3 linked regions of the Saccharomyces cerevisiae S288C genome follow. The gene in region 2 interacts genetically with the main gene of each other region. Each region holds a gene or a part of one and is shown on either strand. Other genes may lie near its edges.

What was found.
Region 1: mutations in SDD1 (region 2) and YOR008C-A together harm fitness less than expected from each alone (positive genetic interaction), as found in Saccharomyces cerevisiae (one large-scale study listed by BioGRID).
Region 3: mutations in SDD1 (region 2) and STL1 together harm fitness more than expected from each alone (negative genetic interaction), as found in Saccharomyces cerevisiae (one large-scale study listed by BioGRID).

The regions. Positions count from the first base shown.
Region 1 is NC_001147.6:341,981-345,053, forward strand, and holds YOR008C-A (uncharacterized protein), read right to left. Parts: upstream 1,102-3,073; coding exon 877-1,101; downstream 1-876. Other genes in the region: SLG1 (Slg1p), read right to left, coding at 1-434; TIR4 (Tir4p), read left to right, coding at 2,355-3,073.
Region 2 is NC_001137.3:44,172-47,630, forward strand, and holds SDD1 (Sdd1p), read right to left. Parts: upstream 1,551-3,459; coding exon 849-1,550; downstream 1-848. Other genes in the region: phosphoacetylglucosamine mutase PCM1, read left to right, coding at 1-754; HAT2 (Hat2p), read left to right, coding at 2,997-3,459. UniProt on the Saccharomyces cerevisiae protein: Acts as an endogenous target of the ribosome quality control (RQC) pathway. During translation, the nascent chain has a propensity to stall ribosomes, thereby stimulating activation of the RQC pathway.
Region 3 is NC_001136.10:1,506,265-1,510,590, reverse strand, and holds STL1 (glucose-inactivated glycerol proton symporter STL1), read right to left. Parts: upstream 2,587-4,326; coding exon 877-2,586; downstream 1-876.

The sequences.
Region 1 (3,073 bases), on a different chromosome or scaffold from region 2:
GTTGATGTTGTGGAGGACGTTGTTGAAGAAGTTGTGGAAGACGACGCAGAAGTAGACTCCGTACTTGAATCTGAGCTGCTTATGCTATTGCTATTTGTGTCAGAGTCAAGTTGGTACACAGAATAGGCATCTTCACCACCACACATCTCACTGCTGTAACCAAAGCAATACGTATTACATGAAGAGGAAGTAGATTCCGAACCAGATGGATTAGTATCACCACAATAACATTCTGAATGATTATAAAGGGCAAAGTAGCTTGCACCTTTTGCGCTACACTCACTGTTACAGTGTGAACTCGACTGCCAGTTATATGAATCGGCCTTTGAAAAGTCAGAGGGTAGTGAGCTAAAACAATTCACGTATTCATAGGCGTTCGCTTGCGATAAAATGGATAATAACGCCAGAAGCAGACTTGTTTTGTTCGGTCTCATTATTTAAATAGAATTTTTTATCCTGAGTACTAAATCAGCCAACGTACTATCCTGAATAAATGTGATGCAGATTCCTTTTTCTCCTCTTGGTTATCTCTCTTTTTCTCTCTCCTTATTAAAAAATTTACGGACAACGAGGAGCTTCTTTCTTGTTTACCTTGATTACCCTTTAAGCAATAACAATATCAATACGAGATTTTCTGTAATGTTAGTGCCTGGTCGAGTTTACTGTATCGTCCAAGAAAACTACACTGCGTTAAATTCTTCCAAATGAGGCTATGATACGCCAAACACTTTTATTTTTCCCCTCCGTTTCTCTCGCTTTCGCTTCGAAAATTACATTATTTTCTTCCCCATGCAGCGTTATTTCCATCTTCAGAGAGGAAAGGCGGAGAAAATTTTTCTTGAGGAAGGAATTCTACGAAAGTAGTCAACTATATTACTAATCGTTTGACATAGAATGCCAAAGTTGCAGCTTTTCCACTAACGTCAAATTTGCGTAACAAGCGCTGCTGTGTAAACTGTCTTGCTTTTTAATAGGACTGACAAAAATTATAAGCGGAGAGATAATATTTAATACTGCCATTGACCTTAGTACCGGTACAGGACAATATGTTTGTATCCTTGGTGTCATAAAGAAGAGAAAAACAAGATAAGATCTCCACATTATTTTGCAGAAGGCGACTTTGGGGGCCGATGATATCTGCTTCCAGAAGTATGTAAAAAAATTACACACCATTAAGTTCTTATGTAAACCGAAGTCTGGAAGAGAGGTGGTGGAATTTCCAGTCTGCTACTAGGCAAAAAACTTGAAACACTTTCATATATGATGTTGTTTTGCCGAGCTATTACAAGACGATTTATCATAAACTACTTGCTTGAGCAGGAACGATTTCACAATCTGTTTAGCAGGTTGTTATGAAGTAGACACGATAAAGTTCTTGAAGAAAGATTGTGGATGGGTTTGCTGAAGCTTAGAACTAAGAAAAGAAACAAGCACGCGCAAGAAAACCGCTACGGCTAACTTCTAAGGTGAGGATATTGTGATTGTTTATGCCTCATATTTTGCGTTTTTATATGTTCTTCCTTCATACGGCGTGCAAATTATCCGCCGGCGAACAGGGTGCTATTCTAAAAGGAACTTTGAAACTGTAAACGCGGTGTACTGAAGGGGTCATCTGAACGAACAATATTTTATGCTTTTGTTAGCCAAACGGTACTGATAAGGGACTGTGAAAAAAAAAAGACAATGTATGGGGTTCACGGTTTCCCAGATTCGTGTGTGTGTAATAATTCGTTTACGGCGCACGACAGACACTTCAGGAAATTTAAAGATCAGAATAGGCATACACTCCGCGCAAGGAAAACAAAAGTTGCTACCGTAACCGGCTCGTACGGGGAAAGCAAGGTCATCTAGTGCTCACTTACGAACTGGCATAATCGAGTTGTGACTTCCAAACTTAACCGTACTCTCACAGCTGATGTGATCCGAAGAAAACCCTGAAGATACAACAATGGCAACCAAAGGCAACTTAAAAAGGCAAACGAAGTACTTTTCAACAATAGCTTACACTGAAACTCGCGGAGAGGCGACGCTGCGCGCGAATTATCAGTAAAAATCTCGTAACAACCCATCTGCCACTTTTAGAAGGAATGGAAATTCTCAAAAAATGACGGAAAATAATAGAACAGGGTTCCTAAACGATGCATTTCTAACAAGTAGGATAGTCCAAAAGGGAGGATGCAAATTCTTTGTTTTCCACGCAGTAAGATATGATCCCAAGCTTTCGAATATAAAAAGGGAAGGATCGCTAGGACAGATCAGTTTTTAGCCCGTTTACTTATCTCGTTCCCTACTCTTGTTCTGATAGAAACCAGCAACAAAAACCTATTCACTCGCTTATTAATACCATAAAAAATATGGCTTACTCTAAAATCACATTACTAGCCGCTCTTGCTGCTATTGCTTACGCTCAAACCCAAGCACAAATCAACGAATTGAACGTTGTTTTAGATGATGTTAAGACCAACATTGCCGACTACATCACCCTATCCTACACTCCAAATTCAGGTTTTTCCTTGGACCAAATGCCAGCTGGTATTATGGATATTGCTGCGCAATTGGTTGCAAATCCAAGTGATGACTCCTACACCACTTTGTACTCTGAAGTGGACTTTTCTGCTGTTGAGCATATGTTGACTATGGTCCCATGGTACTCTTCTAGACTGCTTCCAGAATTAGAAGCAATGGATGCTTCTCTAACTACCTCAAGTTCTGCTGCCACATCTTCAAGTGAAGTTGCTAGCTCTTCTATTGCTTCATCCACTAGCTCTTCTGTTGCACCATCCTCAAGTGAAGTTGTCAGCTCTTCCGTTGCACCATCCTCAAGTGAAGTTGTCAGCTCTTCCGTTGCACCATCCTCAAGTGAAGTTGTCAGCTCTTCCGTTGCTTCATCCTCAAGTGAAGTTGCCAGCTCCTCTGTTGCGCCATCCTCAAGTGAAGTTGTCAGCTCTTCCGTTGCTTCATCCTCAAGTGAAGTTGCCAGCTCCTCTGTTGCGCCATCCTCAAGTGAAGTTGTCAGCTCTTCCGTTGCACCATCCTCAAGTGAAGTTGTCAGCTCTTCCGTTGCTTCATCCTC
Region 2 (3,459 bases):
CTATGTCGACTCAGGATCAAAATTTCATTTGTTGGATGGTGACAAAATTTCCACTTTGTTTGCAAAGTTCTTGTCTAAACAACTAGAATTGGCACACCTAGAACATTCTTTGAAGATTGGTGTTGTGCAAACTGCCTATGCAAACGGCAGTTCCACCGCTTACATAAAAAATACGTTGCACTGTCCCGTGTCTTGCACTAAGACAGGTGTTAAACACTTGCATCATGAAGCTGCCACTCAGTACGATATTGGCATTTATTTCGAAGCAAATGGACATGGTACGATTATATTCAGCGAAAAATTTCATCGAACTATCAAATCTGAATTATCCAAGTCCAAGTTAAATGGTGATACGTTAGCTTTGAGAACTTTGAAGTGTTTCTCTGAATTGATTAATCAGACCGTGGGAGATGCTATTTCAGACATGCTTGCTGTCCTTGCTACTTTGGCGATTTTGAAAATGTCGCCAATGGATTGGGATGAAGAGTATACTGATTTGCCCAACAAGCTGGTTAAGTGCATCGTTCCTGATAGGTCAATTTTCCAAACCACGGACCAGGAAAGAAAATTGCTCAATCCAGTGGGGTTGCAAGACAAGATAGATCTTGTGGTAGCCAAGTATCCCATGGGAAGAAGCTTTGTCAGAGCCAGTGGTACGGAGGATGCGGTGAGGGTTTATGCGGAATGTAAGGACTCCTCTAAGTTAGGTCAATTTTGTGACGAAGTGGTGGAGCACGTTAAGGCATCTGCTTGAAAGCATTATTCGATGTATAGTATAGCTATTTAGATATACAGAGAGATAAATGAAAGAGAAAAAATATTGGTATCAATCAACGTTTGTTACAGGCTTAGACTTTGGTTTGGTAATTGAAATTCATGGTAGTGGAAATAAACAAAATTTTCCTCTTCAATTTTTTTCGTCGTTTCGCTCTGCAATCGAAAATCAAATAATCTTCATAAAAGAAATCACTTTCAATAAATGAACTTCTCACTACCATAATGGATGATGTGGCCGATTCGAAAGCAATACGGTTGATTAACACGGAAACCCCGAGTGATAAGTCACCAAAAAAAATTCTCTTTACGATGAATGTTCCGAATTTGTTCTCCTCTTTACAGTTTTCGTTGGAAAGGTATTTATATGTAATTTCCTTCAGAATTCTCTTGTTTTCTATGTTGGCATTGTCGAGATGAACCTGTTTCAGTATGGCATTGGGAAAAAGTGTAGCTTGTAACTTTAAAACTTGATCATGCAGTGTTGCAGCTAAATTATCCAGAGTAAAAATTTCCTCTTTGGAGTAAATGCCTAGCAAGTTTTTCAGCTGACTACTCCAACCTCGCCTGGCCCTGTGCTTTCTACTTACACAATCTTTGTGATTTGGTGGTAAGGTTTTTGGAAAATGAGGAAGAGTATCTAGTTGTTGGGTAATGTTTCTTTCCAAGAATGATATTTTTTTCATTATGACGTCAATTTCTTTAGAATAAGCCGAGAACTGTACAGTTTTAAAACCCTTTCTGTTGTCATTCCTCTGAATCCCATCATTTGCCATTTAATTTTCAATTTAGTTACTAGTCAATTTTCTTTTTCGCCTTTTGTATTCCATAATATGAATATAAGCTTGGGCTTGCCGATTTTCTCCGCTTAATATTAAGCCTACGCATGATGTAGGTTACATTTTGAAGGGTTTCTTTTAACTTCCTTACTTATTTATATATGTATGAACCTACACAAGGCATTTTACCCTTATTTCTTCCCGCAACATTTGATAAAAAGTGGAAGACGTTTGTGATTGTTATTATCGCCCCAATTTTCTCCTTTTTTTCTTTTCCTTCAACGTCAATCAATTGCACATTCAGCCGATTGGCTTTCTTAGCGCAGGATAGGGTGTCGGGGATACCTGTGGGAAGTTAGTGACACTTTTTTTTCCACTCTCTTCATGGAATCCCCGGACGGCAGCCGCCCGTCCCAATTTTGGCAAAATTGACATCCTAACTGCACGAATTCTCATCGCGTATCAGAACTCTTGAGCCTTCAGTTTTACTACTCAATGCTCTGATTTATCTATATATACATAAATGAAAATAATACGTGCGCATTTATAAGACAAAAAGTTAGAATTCTGACCACGATTGCATGCTGTAGATAATTGTCGTGTTCATTCTCTCTTTAACGGCGCCTCAAGAAGAATATAAAATAATTGCTCTTGCAGTCTCAATGAGTCGGTATGTTCAAAGTGGTGCCCAACATTTACTAATATTGGACTGCGGTACAAAATCGGCGGCTAAACTGTCTACCGATAAAATACTCTTGATTTATAAGAATGAAAAAGAAAACAAAAAGGGATGACCCCTGAAAAAGTTTGTTTTCTTTACCCTTTTTTATGTTAAATTTTACATTTATTACCGTTTACGTCAATCGCAATATACAGGTGGGGCATTGTTATTTGATTTCATAATCTGGTGAGAACGTTATCACGCGGATTATTTAGTTTTTTTAAACCATGTGCGAAGAAATTCTCATATATTGTAGGCATTTCTGACTCAAACTTCTGCTGCTTAAAATAGCTGTTTTCACCTTTTTTTTCCTCTTGTTCTATTTGACATGCTCCCTTTCTTCCTCGGTCCTTTCAACCATTTCCATGCTCCTGTAGGCTCAGGAGCAGAGCGAGGAAAAAACTTCCCTACAGAAAGCTTTCATGTTTTTAACCGGTTTCCTTTCAGCTTTTTCTTTTGGAGTAATCTAGAAAGATTAGGTCATTTGTTCAGTCTATTTGATACTTGATGAGTAGCTCGTCTGTTCTGTTCAAAATAACAATTTGTGAGGTGTACGGATGTTTTCACTGGCATTCGTCGACATGACAAAGACAAACCTTGAAAATAATAATGGAGAATAACTAGAAAGACGTTACTATGCCTCTAATACTTCTGCCTCTCTTATCTCTCCTATCAATTGTGGTTAGCCTAGTAGTCACCAAATAGCAAATTACCAATCAACTATGGAAAACCAAGAGAAACCGCTTTCTGTAGACGAGGAGTACGATTTATGGAAATCCAATGTTCCATTAATGTATGACTTTGTTAGCGAGACACGTTTAACATGGCCATCTTTAACCGTCCAATGGCTCCCTACTCCTGTTCAAGAATTAGATGGTGGCTTTATTAAACAAGAATTAATCATCGGTACGCACACTTCTGGTGAAGAAGAAAACTATTTGAAATTCGCAGAAATTAATCTACCAAAGGAAATTCTTAGTAATGAAGACCCACAAGAAGAAGCAGGAGAGGAGTATCAGTCCTCTCTACCTGCTCCTAGGTCAAATATAAGGATTACCGCTAAATATGAGCACGAAGAAGAAATCACTAGAGCCCGATATATGCCTCAAGACCCTAATATTGTCGCCACAATAAATGGGCAAGGCACAGTTTTCCTCTATTCTCGCTCAGAAGGTCTTCAGTCAA
Region 3 (4,326 bases), on a different chromosome or scaffold from region 2:
ATGTCATAACATGTTAAGCGTTTTGGCTGTCTTCACAGATATACTCTTTTCTTGTGCAATCGTTGTCAAGTTGGTTATAAGTAACAGCACTAGGTGATGTATGGTGTCCCTTGCCCTGTTTTTGATATGCCTATGAAGCGCTGCTGCGTTTTCGAGGTATGGCTTCTGCCGGGCTAACGTTCAAATTAAAGGAACTAGATTCTGCTGTTATCAAACCGACAAGAAGAATGAAGTGCATAACGTATGAAAAATAGGTCCTGTAAAGCTCTGGTAAAATCTTACTGCTCTAAGCGATGCATGATATTCATGGCTAATTTGAAATCTTGCTCTAAAACCCTTTTTGCAAGAAGAATATCATGGCAAGACCGCAAAAAGAGAATAGCACCATTTGCAGTGTTCGAAAGTTGGTGGCTTTTTGTATGTTGCAGTTAAATGATGGTAGAACAGGTTTTTGCGGTGTCCCATGAGAGAAAAGGAAGGAAGACATTCATAGAACATCCATGGCGGCACCCTGCTAAAATATCTTCACCTTAGTATTCAGATTTTCCTACTTCCGTCATCATTCGCTCCAATGTAATAACACGTCCACGTTATCAATAAAGATGTTTTAAAAATTTTTGTGGGACTATTATTGTACTTAAATAAATATTAAGACTACGGAGTCGGGCTATTTTATAAGCTTTTTATAGGCATTGCCGGCAAGCGGAAGAAAATGAAAGTGGACATATTTCCTCAAAAGACAGATCGTCTGGTGTTAAAATACTAAAGTTATGTAGTAATATATGAATATTATTGGTGCGGCAAGGAACAAATATAAACCCCGCAAAATGCTTTCTTAAGTAAATTACAAAATATGATTTGTGAGTTGTGTGTGAATCAACCCTCAAAATTTGCTTTATCGTTCACTGTATCTTCATTTTTGATGTTTGAAGAACTAGACGAATTATCGCCGTTAATTTGGTTATAGGTGTCTTCTACTCTATCTTCACCAAAGTCCTCTTTTTCCATTTCGTCGTCATAAGAGCCCAATGCATTGGCATGATCTTCGACTTCTTGTAGGGATAACTTGGGCAAATGGTTAGCAACTCTCCATGGTTGAGTGCCATCCTCGTATGCTTTAGCAAAGATGATGTCGATTTCCTCCAAACTTCTTCCGGCGGTTTCAGGGTAGAAAAAGAAGATAACTGGAATGTATAAATAATTCATAACAGCAAAAAATAAGTAGCAACCCCAACCGGACTGTCCAATAAATATTGGGGTGAACATGACAACCGCAAAGTTACACAACCAATTAGTACATGTGGAGAAAGCGTTTGTTGATGCACGAACTTTCATTGATGCAATTTCTGGTGGGTATATCCATGGTAATGATAGCAAAGACAAACCAAAGAATGTAATGAACAAAAATAAGCCGACGGCAGCACCTCTTGCGTTTTCTTTATTTTCTTTGACCAAGCATGCAAATGTAATTGTGAATGAAACTGCTTGACCTGTGGCACCTAATAAAAACAGCTTACGTCTACCTAGCTTTTCAATTAGAAAAAATGAACCAATAGTAGATAAGGCGTAGATTGTTGCGAAGACCCCACCTATGATCATTGATAATCTATAGTCTAATTTAATTGTTTTGTTGAATAATACAGTAGAGTAGTATATGGCAGCGTTACAACCAGTAAATTGCTGGAAAAATTGCGTTGAAGCTGCAATCAAAGCCCTCTGAAGATTTTGGGACCTGCCTCTGGAGAACAAACTTGACAGTGAATGTTTCTCGTGTTTGGTCCTGTTAACAGCATCGTGAAGCATAGCAACTTCTGTTATAACTTCCTCATCATTTGGATCCGCGTCGTCTAGTGTTCCTACCAAGTAGCGAGCTTCTTCTGTTCGACTTTGAGAAATCAGCCAACGTGGCGATTCAGGTAGTTTAATCATGAAAGCAAGCAGGAAGAGAGCAAAAACGATTTGCATTGACACGGGGAATCTCCACTGAACAGAACTGTTGGTATAAGACAACCCAAAATCAATCCAATAAGCAATCATAGTACCAAAAGCAATTGTGGAACCTTCTAAATTGACCAGCAACCCTCTATTTTCAGCTTTTGACATTTCTGATTGCCAAACGGGAATAGTAGATGTATTCAACCCTGTTCCAACACCGGTGACGACTCTTCCGATGATAAACTGGCCTAATGCCCAGTAACCACGAAATGCGCATGTAGAAATAACGGCACCAATGATGGTTATTACGGAACCCATCAGGATTAATGGTTTTCTACCAATTCTTTCACCGCAGAACATAACGAATAGAGAACCTGCGAAACAACCTAATTCATAACAGGAGGTTGTAGCGCCCTGCACTACAGTTGCGTGTCTGTCATGATCGCCATTTTCTTTGGTTGCTGGAAATTCATAGTTGAACTGTTTACCAGTAATTAGACTTGCCATCAACCCTTGGTCGTATCCAAACAGGGAGAAGCCCGTCATAGATGCGATAGTGATGAAATACCGCAACTTCTTACCCGTAAGTCCCCAGTGACTGGTTCTGCTTATAAATTTGCCTTTGAAATTCGATAATTTTAAATCCTTCATGGTCTAAAACTTTCTATGTTCTATTTTTCTATTTTTTATTTATTCTAACTTGTATGCTAGAACACGTATACAAAATAATTATTCAAAATCAATAAAGGGCTTGTTTATATACTATGAGTGTGACTACTCCTGAACTGCAATTCTGACCCTCTAAGGCCAAGCAGCGTTGAAGGGGACAAAATTGAAGCTAAAACATCTCACTTAAGCTTTCTCAATTTCTCTATCTACTTCCTTTTTGTTACGAATGCCCCAATGAAAGCCCTATCAAAGGTGAACCAAAAGTGTTTCCCTTACCGGGATCTGCACTTTCTCAGATTACTACTATCGCGAAGCAGCCAAGCGCAATAGCTGCACCTGGCGAGGATTAACCAACCAAAAACGGTATATAGCCGAGAAACAGTGTACAACCATTATTTCTTTCTGACGTAGTGGATGGCTGGACACTTTCCGCTTATTTTAGTTTCATGCAACGAACAGAGCCGCTCGAACAGGCGACGTAGCGCCGAATACCCCGCGAAACGGAGATGCTACTCAAATGCAGGTAGCGGAGGCATCGCCGTGGGGTATGCGGTGGCCGAAAAAGGACAAAGTCGGACCCTTCATATCAGTTAAAATGACGCAAGTTGAGTCAAAGTGAGCCAAATGGGCCAAATGCGGTGGAATAGTGGGACAACGGCACTTATTTCGTCCGTACGTCCGTTATGGATGTGTATACTATTTCATGATTGGCTTACCTCAAAGAAAATGAAACGGATGGTGCCTCCTAGCCTTGGCAATGAGTATCAGTAGTGGTGTTCTGCAGCCCTTTAATTCTATCTTGGCCGCATTCCAGACATATCCCTTATAGTTATGACGTATATGATTGTGGGGCATTGTTTGCCAAGGAAAATGGAGTAAGTTGAATGAAGAATATGGATTAGTGGTTCTAGGTCGCTCGTAATATCAGACTGAAAGACATTATCTTTGCAAAGGTTGTAAAAGGAGTATTTCAGAATCATTGCTGATTCACACGCGAGACCACATTAGTAAATTTTCTACTCTCGGGCTGAATTCCTCGGCGAAGCTTTGCCTTGCCATTTTAGGTGAGAATACGTATTTGCGGTATCATATTGTTTTTCTTCTCTTCCTTAACTCATTTAGAAAGTTCGATAGTGAACAAAGCGCTACACAAATATTTGATCATGGCAAAGTTACCGCGCCAATCGCCCTGCGCATTGTAGTCGCCTGCTCCTTCAGTTCGTCCGCTGGTTGCGGAATATTTGAATGTCAGTTTTCAACATTGAAACATCAGATAATGTTGGTATCGTGTTTAAATGATGGACGCATCTACGTCACCTTAAGTGCGTTTTTGCCTGTGAGATTTTTATTTCATTGTGTCCACTTGCTATTGTCTGGTTGATATTCCGATGTTTGTCGAGTTTTTTTATTTGCTCTCTGCTTTCATTTTTCTGCACTTCTGGCACATGGTCTAGCCTTTCTTAGTCCAGAAGCAACTGTCACCATTGAATAACGTTGCACTTCAACCTGTCCGTTTATCCAACTGTTTATATCGGTAGAAATAAGGGTATAAGAATAAATTGGCTGGTCAATTGATCGATGAAATTATCGAGCTTTTTTTTTTACTGCATGATCCCTGTCTTCTGAGGCTGTGTAACTTTTTTACTGCCTAAGAACTCTCGGACCCTTCTTTGGTGTTGCCTCAGAAATAGTATGGTGTATTAGCACCATAATAAAAATTTT